2 linked regions of the Drosophila melanogaster genome follow. The protein of the gene in region 2 interacts with the protein of the main gene of each other region in a pairwise test. Each region holds a gene or a part of one and is shown on either strand. Other genes may lie near its edges.

The links.
Region 1: the proteins of Snmp1 (region 2) and Or22a come close enough for resonance energy transfer, tested with the Drosophila melanogaster proteins (one study listed by BioGRID).

Annotation. Positions count from the first base shown.
Region 1 is NT_033779.5:1,518,551-1,522,686, reverse strand, and holds Or22a (odorant receptor 22a), read right to left. Parts: upstream 2,197-4,136; 5' UTR 2,075-2,196; coding exon 1,947-2,074; intron 1,887-1,946; coding exon 1,248-1,886; intron 1,129-1,247; coding exon 771-1,128; intron 705-770; coding exon 636-704; 3' UTR 531-635; downstream 1-530. UniProt on the Drosophila melanogaster protein: Odorant receptor which mediates acceptance or avoidance behavior, depending on its substrates. The odorant receptor repertoire encodes a large collection of odor stimuli that vary widely in identity, intensity, and duration.
Region 2 is NT_033777.3:21,164,542-21,170,252, forward strand, and holds Snmp1 (sensory neuron membrane protein 1), read right to left. Parts: upstream 3,665-5,711; 5' UTR 3,588-3,664; coding exon 3,477-3,587; intron 3,417-3,476; coding exon 3,259-3,416; intron 3,193-3,258; coding exon 3,045-3,192; intron 2,600-3,044; coding exon 2,345-2,599; intron 2,277-2,344; coding exon 1,770-2,276; intron 1,710-1,769; coding exon 1,531-1,709; intron 1,471-1,530; coding exon 1,173-1,470; 3' UTR 626-1,172; downstream 1-625. Other genes in the region: CG5810 (uncharacterized protein), read left to right, coding at 1-535. UniProt on the Drosophila melanogaster protein: Plays an olfactory role that is not restricted to pheromone sensitivity. Has a role in detection and signal transduction of the fatty-acid-derived male pheromone 11-cis vaccenyl acetate (cVA). Not required for sensitivity to general odorants.

The sequences.
Region 1 (4,136 bases), on a different chromosome or scaffold from region 2:
TTTGATTATTTGCTTGAGCTGGAAAACAGTGCTTTTTATAGGCCGCCTCACTGTTGCAAATGGTCTCACATGACTTGGCGATTTCAAGAACTTAAGCTTTGTTTCGTATTTGCTAAAAGTTTTCCGGGAATGTCACCGGGGAAAACGTTAACAAATGTATGGTTCCATTCGACCACAATCACCTACAAACTACACCTTCACACCTAAAAGGAAAATATAAGTAAAAAAAAAAGTTTAAAATCGATCAATTAACCAAGAAACTCTTCTTAAAGAGTTTGTATGAATTATACATTTCCCTTGTATTCTCTCACATATTTTGTTTTTGTAGCTTTTATATGTTTCGGTTTTTTTTTTTGTAAGTAACTACATTAGTTATTTGGCAATAATGCATTTTATTAAGTGGACAGTTGTGGTGTATCCGACCCATGCACCTTCCTTTGCGAAAAACTGCAGTATTCCAGTTTGTCTGGCTTTCAAAACTCTTCCACCCGAGGGCGCCACAAAGTTTGATATATATGAAAAACAGTGATATTACTAAATATTTATTAGGGTACAGCAATATATAATATAAAATAATATATATATAATATAATATAATATATAATATAATAGTAGCAGAGCTCGTCCCTCTCAACTTATTGAAACCTTTCGGCCAAGTTAAATTGCTTAATTACCGTAACCACAGAAAATGCCAGCTTCACCATCTATAATAACAAAGTAATTTAAAATAGGTGTAAAATCAATGATATATCTAAAATATTGACACCCACAGCCAAATTTGTTTGCATGGAAATAGGAAACACTCCACCAGCCGTGAGAGTAATGGGTTGCTGAAGATTGTGAAGAAAGTATACCAACGTGGATTTGTAGCGACGATCGGCAGAGGTCCAGTCCGATTGAAAGAGGCAATTGGACATTTCCTGGCAGTCATCGATAATCATGTTGCACAAATAGCAAAAGGGGAACGTCTCCATGGACACGTCGAACATAAAAAGGCAAGTGGCGACACCAGTCCAAAATGTCGAGAAGAACATTAGATTTATCATTGAGAGACCCAGTACAGTACCGATCAGGAGGAACTGCACAAAAATGGTTCCCGAAAAGACGGGTCGCAATGCGTCAACATAGCTAAGAAATAAAAAAAGGCCATTAATAAAAAGGAAAGGAATAGAAGAAAACTGTTTCAAATATTTCATTTTACTATGTCTTTGCGACACAGTGTTCTTGTAGCATTTGAAACACCTTACTCCAATAGCAATCGATGATCCCGAATGCACTCGGTGAGCTCCTCCAAGTACTCATCTTCGGTCCTTCCTGGCTTCGATCGGAGATTTCTCAGTCGCTGTTTCAGGAGGCTAATGTGGCATCGAGCCATAAGCATGGAGATCAAGGGACACACGTCCGTACAGAGATCCATGTAGATGGCCTCCGTCATCAGAAAACACTCGGCGATGCTGGAGATGTAAAACTGTTCGTCGGAATCGATATATGGAAAGTACATGCGCCAAGCATGGCGTCTCTCAAGCAGAAAATACGGGAAGTTCATTACCACGAAGGTGGAGTAAAAAATGTGATACAAAATATCGAAAAAGTTTCCCATGGCGACATAGCGATGAACAGTGGACCTCTCCTTATCGCTAAGGCATCTCTTGTCCAGCTGATCCAGTAAAACCTTAGCTTCCTGTCTTTTCTTGAATCCAATCAAGGTGAAGGCGCACTTAAAAGAGCTTCCGTACATGTTGACTCCAATCTCGAGGGAACTAAGGAACTCCCCCGCCGAGAAGGTTTTAAATCGGTGGAGGTACTCGATGCTTATCGAGATCGGCAGAAGGATGAGCATTACTATGTTCACGAACGCTAACCACAGTTTATAAGGAAGGATCCACCTTTACGGGAAATTATGGTAGCTTTAATACTTATATATGTGCTTACATTGATTTCATTACCTTTTGTTTTCAGGCTCTGTCCAGCCAAAGGACCACATCACCCGATCCAAGTAAATGAAGGCATCTCGGGACTTAACCCGCTCGCTCAATGGCTTTTCTTTTATGTGGGGAAAAAACTTGCTTAACATCTTGTCCGTGGCTTTGTTTGAATATTTGCTTGAGCTGGGAAACAGTGCTTTTTATAGGCTGCCTCACTGTTGCAAATGGTCTCACATGACTTGGCGGTTTTAAGAGCTTTAGTTCTGTTTCGTATTTGCTGTAAGTTTTTAAAGAATGTCAGTAGAAAATGTCATATGACATTTAATCGACCGCAGGTTACATTTCAGCTGAATGGAATTATGCTCGTTCAACGATCAGGAACTTAACAAGCAATTTACCGAGTAAAACACTACCAAAAATACATTAATTCGCCATACATCTTCATACGACCATACTGAACCGAATTCCCCTTTTCCCGCCCAATATCATTGCCTTTCGTCTGACATTGCGTTGACCATTGGCGGTGTTAATCAATGCCACCGCGATGGCATGCAACCGAAAAATGATTGCCGCCAAACACATTATCTGTATTATTAATGAGCTGCATGCCGCAGACTGCACTCGTGAAAAATATGCGGCTTAAATTTGATTTATAATTTCCGAAATATATTCTAAAAATGTATAAAAATGATGATGTGCTGAAGACCTTGAAAGGCACACAATGAATTAAATAGAAGAGATTAAACGTGTATCAATCATATTATAAATATATTTTATGTATTACAGCAAATCTTTAGACAACTTTACAGATCCCAAATGACTTTAAAACAATTTCAAAGATATAATATAAAGTTTGGACATCATTTAAGCTTTCGCTACGTGCATCGAGTGTCCTGTAAATTGGCATCATTGTTGATTGAGTTGATCGAGGGACCCGCTGCGGGTTTCCCCGACCAAACATCTCTCTTTAGAGCACTTTGCACAGCACATTGCATTCTCATTATAGCCTTGCTTTTCGGGTGTTTAATTAATTGAAAGCATTTTTGCCAGCGTTTGCGGCCGCTTTCCCTTTTGCCAATTTCACGGAGAGTGTGAAGCGTCGACCGTAATAATATTGACTCATTGGCGTTGAGGACGGACATCCAGACATACAAATGCACACAAAAGGACCTTCGTGAACATGCAAATTAAATGCATTCGGCGGAGACAACCCGTCCATGTGCCCGCCCTAGAATCTTTTGTCGGTTCTGGTAATTAATCGGAATATTTTACATTTTTTTTTTCCGGCTCATGGTAGAGAGACGAAATTTAAAATTCAATCAGCGTCTGCAGTGCGCAATCCAATTTAAGTTATAAAGATGGGTGGGTATTGGCAAATTATGATCCTTCCAGATCGTGCATTTTATTCCTAATGGGTATATTTTTGTGTAAACGATCGAAACGGGCTTTTTTGCATTTTTTAATTTTTAAGTTATCGCGAGTTTCACAAGCTATAATTAAATCATTGAAAAGTCAACTTAAGTAGAGGTTACACAGTTTACAAACTCATCTTTAAATCAACGATTCCTGGAAAATATACCATATGTGTGAATTCAGACTGATTCTCATCGTTGGTCATTGAAGTCTAGTCTAAATTGTGACCGAAACACCACAGAATATGGTACAAAAAAAGAAAACAACCGAACTATTACTATTATTTTTGGTTTTAATTGGCTATTCCTCTAACTAATTAAAACTGTGGCGACAGTAGCTATTATATGCTTGACTAATTTACAACATATTCCGGTTACAAACAACGTATACATAACATAAATTTATTGACGGCGATCTGATGACAAATGGATTGGTACGCACGCAAATATTTTGGAATTTAAGTGATTAAGTTTTTTAAGTGGTAATGTTTAAGGGTGAAAAATATATATATGAGAACATCGCTATTAAAGTAATGCATATACACGATAAATGTACTTTAACATATTTATTTTAGCTTGTTTTGGGTAAGTTCAACTAATTATATCAATATATGTGTAATTCCATACTATATTTTCTCGTAAACCTTTGGCCGCTCCACATGGCCATGCAGATTTTGGCAGTAGTCAATCCTTTGAGGGAATGCAATTTTTTTTAATTGCTGCAGGACAATGCTGGAAACATTCACTTTTTCTTTTTCCTTCACGGTCTGTTATTATAACTTCTTTAAAATTCTTTAAT
Region 2 (5,711 bases):
CAATGAGCTGGAGGCCACCAATTGTGATCTCGAGTCAGTGGAGTTGGATGGTCGAGTGATTGGTGTCCAATTGGAGGCAAACCCAAAGCTGCATGAGTTGAAGATTTCGCAGCCCCAGGATCTGGAGCATCTTTACTTGGCCAATACCAATCTGTATAGACTTGACTTTCTGTCCAAGGCCAGTAAGCTCGTTGACTTGGATGTAACGGACATTGTAAATCTCGCGGATTTACCCAAAATTACCTCAGCCAAGGGATTGGAAAGATTGAGTTTTACCTACGACAACTTGACTTCGAATCACATGGACATGTTGCCCCATCTGAAGGATCTCAACTACTTGGAGATAAGTCACGAGAAGGGAAAGGAGATCTTTATCAAGGATCTGGATGAGGATTTCTTTGTCGAGGAAGCGGAACTCAATTGCGGCCAGTTGGCGGATCTGTTGGAGTTCGTCGAACTGCCTAAGGACACAACCATTTTGGAAGATAGATTAGTTGGAGATCCTCGAGGGCCAATGAGATGTGGAATGGCATAGAAAAATAATCTATTAAATGGGAAATAGTATTAAAATTCCTACTTATTTATACTAATGAGAAAATATTATATAAATGAAACTGCATAAATTAAGCCAAATAAATACCATTTATTTGCCCCCTCTTTGTTTGATTTTACATTTACAACTACAAACACTTCACTTTAAGGGGCCAACAGAACAAGTACTTATAATTCGTCTTCATTAAAATTAATTAAAAAAGTGTAATTTTTGCATACTGTTTACAAATCATTAATCAACGCTATACAAGTTGAGATATTTTCACTTCAACTTTTCCGCCTGTCTCCGCAATTGTTTTCGGTTTGCAAACATTGCAGCCATTGTTTAAAAACGATTTGTCAATTCACCGACTCTTGTGATCGCTGAACTCGAACTTCTGAACTTCTGCGTTTTTTTATTTTTTATTACTGAATCCACGATGATCGGTGTCAGTGGAGCGCACAGATCTTGTCATCTGCGATCAGTGGTCATCGATTAGCGATCACTCCATTGGCCAGCGACCAGTTTCCCAGACGAATGTGCTTAGATCTGTCTCAGTTGATTAGCTCATATTGGACTACACAGGTGCAGTGGACTACGACTATGGTGCAGAGATCGCTGGAGAATGCCATTTGGGGTATTAGTAGCGCTCCCGATGCTCCATTTTGTGATGGGTAGCTGGATTGGTAGCGGGATTCGTGCCGGGAATCAGAGTATTGGGCAACTGAACAGGGTGCACAGTAGAAGATTGCTTTGGATTTGCTGAAGGCAAGGGCTCCTTTGTGCTGGCCACGTCGTCTACCTTGTTGTTATCCTTGAGGATGCTGTTTATGTCCAAACTGTCGGATTTGTGGTAGAAAAGATAGGCGGAAAACATCAGGCCCACCAGGGAGAAAGTAATGAGGGACCAGCGCAGGACTGAGTTGATTTTTAGGCCCCTAAAAAGATAATTAAAATATGTTATATAATTTCTCTTAACAATGTAGATTCCAACTTACAGAAATAGTGTGTATTTCACTAAGTTCGTGTAGGTCTTGTTCAACTGCACGCCCTCCTCCACCCAAAACATGGGCAATATCAGCTTGGGTAGATTCTTCATGGGTTCAATGCCCTCCACTGGCTCCATGTCCAGATTAAACTGCAAACGCTTGGCAGCCTGAAAAGGTGTTCCAGACATCTGAAGGGAGTAGAAATAGATAATATGCATGTATATTCATTACTCAAATTGCTTGCTTACAAGTTCAAAGTCTATGTAGACCGCATGATCCTTTTCATTCGGATTGAGACCATCAACGTCGGCAACCAGCTTTGGATCGCCCAGATAGAAATGAGGCATTGATGCCATCAATGGACCACCAACACAGGCCGCCAGATTCATAGTGCCCTTGGGCGGACACGTGTCCAGATCTTCGGGATCTTCGCAGAAACAATGAAGCTTCTCATCGGCACGTATATCCCCCAAATCCAGGGTGTATCTCATCGATGGCATGCCATGGTAGGATGACTTGTGCTGATAATAAGCGCCCAGGGATCTACACAAATCCGGCGTGAATGCCCACAGGCCATCCTCCTTTTTCAAGCCCGGTGCAAAGACCGTAGAATCAGTGCCCACAAAGGTGTTGCACTCGCCATCTGGCCAAATGTCTTGCTCCGGTTCGTCGGCGAATTTCACTACCTTTCCAAGCTTTTTGTTATTTTTCACTCCGCGACAGACAGTGAATCTGCCAGAATCCGAGTGATTGGCCTGTTTTTCGATGTTAATTGAAATTTCAGTCACTTAAGTAGTATTAATTGGCAGTATTAAGAACTCACCTGACCCATAAACGAGAACAAAAAGTGAGTTTGATTGACTTGTTTGGCCTGCTTAATTTCTCCCGTGTAAAACACGGTGCAGAGCGCCTTTGCGGAGAATTCTTCCGAGGAGCAATCTACGTTGATGCCGCGGAAAAATAAATCCATAAATTTAGCTTTCAAAAAGGCTTTGGCATCCGGAAAGACAATGCTTAATCCTTTGGAAACCAGCTCCATCATGGCAGCCTTTTCCCTTTGAACCGAAATGCCGCCAGGCTGTAAAAATTGGAAAGGGAAAAACATATAATCGCCGCCAATAAATCGCAGACTAAATTCAGCTTAGAATTACAGAACACAAAAGACGCCATTCTGAAATCCATTTCTATCACTCTTAATGGGTTAATTTTGTGGCTGCTATTTTGGGGCTGGGAATGCGATTTGCATAATTCACATGGCTAACAATGGGCCACGTGGTCATTAGCTGGCGCCTTAAGTGCAGTTTTCCATAGCTCTGACTAGAATCTCTAATTCCCAACGTTTGCCATAAAGTCGCTGATGCAGTGAGTGTTGATTTTAAATTTACTAACCATTTTTAGTAAGGTATAGCAGGGTATGGGATTGAATTTTATATGAAGAAATGGAAGAATATGATTGATTTAACGAAAATGTTTGGAAACTTGTATAGTTTCAAAAAATATGAACTAAACCATTTAATAATTACCAGCATTATGGGATGCGGCAAAATAATCTCCTCCTCGCCCGTAAGTGGCAGCGACTCCTTCGGGTTGAAAATGAACGTGTTCCTCATGGTGAAGCTGACCGTGTCCTCTACGACATCATCCTCCAAATCATACTTGTCCTTCCACTCACTCAAAGCAGGGAGAAACAGTGTTAGTTACTTGCTATCCTACACAATCCAATATATAGAAACCCACTCGAAAACGAAGGGACCCACTTCCTGTAGCCGTGGCTTAGCTCCTTCGGATACCTCATCCGGATTGGTTACGTTGAAAACGTAGATATAGAAATGCAGTGGGAATGGAGTATTGGACCAGAGTTCCCGAACATCCGATCCGGGCTTTAAAGTTACTTGCTATTGGGTGGGAAGCTATTATAAGATTTAAGCCGGGTATAACTCCCTCATCGATCCCACCTTCGATATCATAAACTTGAGAATTTTGGGAAAGATAACCCAGCCATAGATGATGGCAAACACGAACATGGCTCCCGACCCCATGAGCAGCTTAACCCGAGGTACTTGCATCTCTGGGCAATGTTTCGATCTCTACTCGATTCGTGCACGGAAATCCTTTCAATCCGATTGCCTCCTTCGAGCTGAAGACCAGAGGCTTTCACAGTCGCGACGCAACTGAATCGTCTCCACACTGAAGTCCGGAATCCCCTCCTCAAATCGGACGGAACGTGCGAATATTTTTCACTCAGCCATAGCAGCAGCATTTGCGGTTGAGGAGGCGGCAGGCCGGATGGCAAAACAATCAGATAACACGGCATTACTTATAAAATCAATAATTGCATGTATTTGAGTATTATAAATTGTTTCCACTTTACGCTCTACACTCCACGCAGTTTCGGCCATAGTCGGACGCACGAATGCGGTATAACTGGCTTTTGTTCATCTGGACCCTCGTCATCAAGTCGTTTTGATCGTACACCTATATTTCAATCAGACTTAATTGTTCGCATAGCCCAAATGGGCCAAAATGCATTGAAATGCATTTGATGTACCAACAAGTTTGGACTAGGAATATAAACAAGATCGTTTAATTGCCTTTCTTTAGGGGGAAGTAAAGGAATATCCTCAGTTTTTCTATAATTTGCAACCACTTCTATAAAAGTGTAACCCATTTTGGTTTTGAAATTGATATTAGCAAACACCATACATAACCCATAGATACGCATTAGCTACCCAAAGAACCTACTATCACCTACCTAAACGTTATGCACTTGGACTTGTAGAACTTATTTCTATACTTCTGTAATTGAATTTCGAAATGACTTATGCGACACCTGGCCTATATTCCACTATTAGCACTTGTTACCTTTCCTTGGAAACTTTTCTTCCCTAATTGCGGCAATTACGTTTTCCAATTTCAAGGAGAACCAATGCAAGTGTTGATGGCTAATTAGGGAAAGAGTAAGCCAGACTCGCGAGGTTTGATATTAGCTTGAGTGAGAAGAGCAAATATTTCTATTATATTTTGGAAAATTGTATTTTCTGGATTTATTTTATTTTAAATTTTCAAAGTAATTTATAACTTATTTGCTATAAGGTTATCCTATTCTAAAATTAGAAGCAGTTGAGTTTTGTAAAGACATAAGGCGTTAAATAATGCTAGTATCCATTTTTATTATGGCTTCACTGTCAAAACCTTAAAAGATACATTTTAGGCGTAAGCATCGAGTAAAATACTTCTTCATAAGTAAATCTAGTAAATACTCTTTTTTAATGATGTTCATGCAACTTAAACCTTGTTTTTACAGTGAATGATTGTATACACAGTTTCCAGACTCTGGTCTCAATATCTATGAAGTATCTAAGTATCCATCAAATCTGAAATATTTTCGTTGCCTTGTAATCTGAATATTTGTAGTGCGTAAAGCATTCTTCAATTAGCCAATAAATCCATTTAAGTTAGATGCTCTGCCACCTTGACCGGCTAACTGGGCTCGGCAACGCCCCTTTCAGTTGGTCGTTTGTTGACACAAACAGAAATCGAAACTGAAACCGAGTGCAAAACATAATGCATAACAATGGCACAAAACAAAAAAAAAATGAAAAAAACAAACAAGAAAACTACAGACAGAGAAACAACTTAAACAATGCCAAAACCCAAAACACGTGACTGCGCCATCGACTCGAGTTGCGTTGAGTTGACTTGAGTCGAGAAACATACATACATATATGTAAGACAGACAGACAGACAGACAGACAGAACCTCTCCAGCTCGCCAGTGGAAAATGACACAGAAAAGCGAGTTGCGGCGAGACGCGAGTGGAAATTGAAGCGCGCTTGACAACGGCAGCCGATCGTTTAGATACAGATACTTTGCCATAAGTTTCAGTATGTTCGACCAGGTTTCTTCGATTTTCTGCTGAGCGAATGTAAATTAAAATTGAAAATGAAGTGCCAGCGTAGCCAACAATTTGATTATGTTCGAACTGGAGGCGAAAGAGGAAATTCTCAATTTCGTTTGCTACCAATTATTGCTGGCCCAAATAGTTTTGAAAATGCCTAAGTGCTCAAGGGGCTTAAGATTGAGGTAATCCTGGTCTGGGTACATACTTCTTGGACTTGAAGACGACAAATGAGTGTCCAAAGTACGCTTTTCAAAGCCAATATATAGTCCTATATATATTGATCGATTTG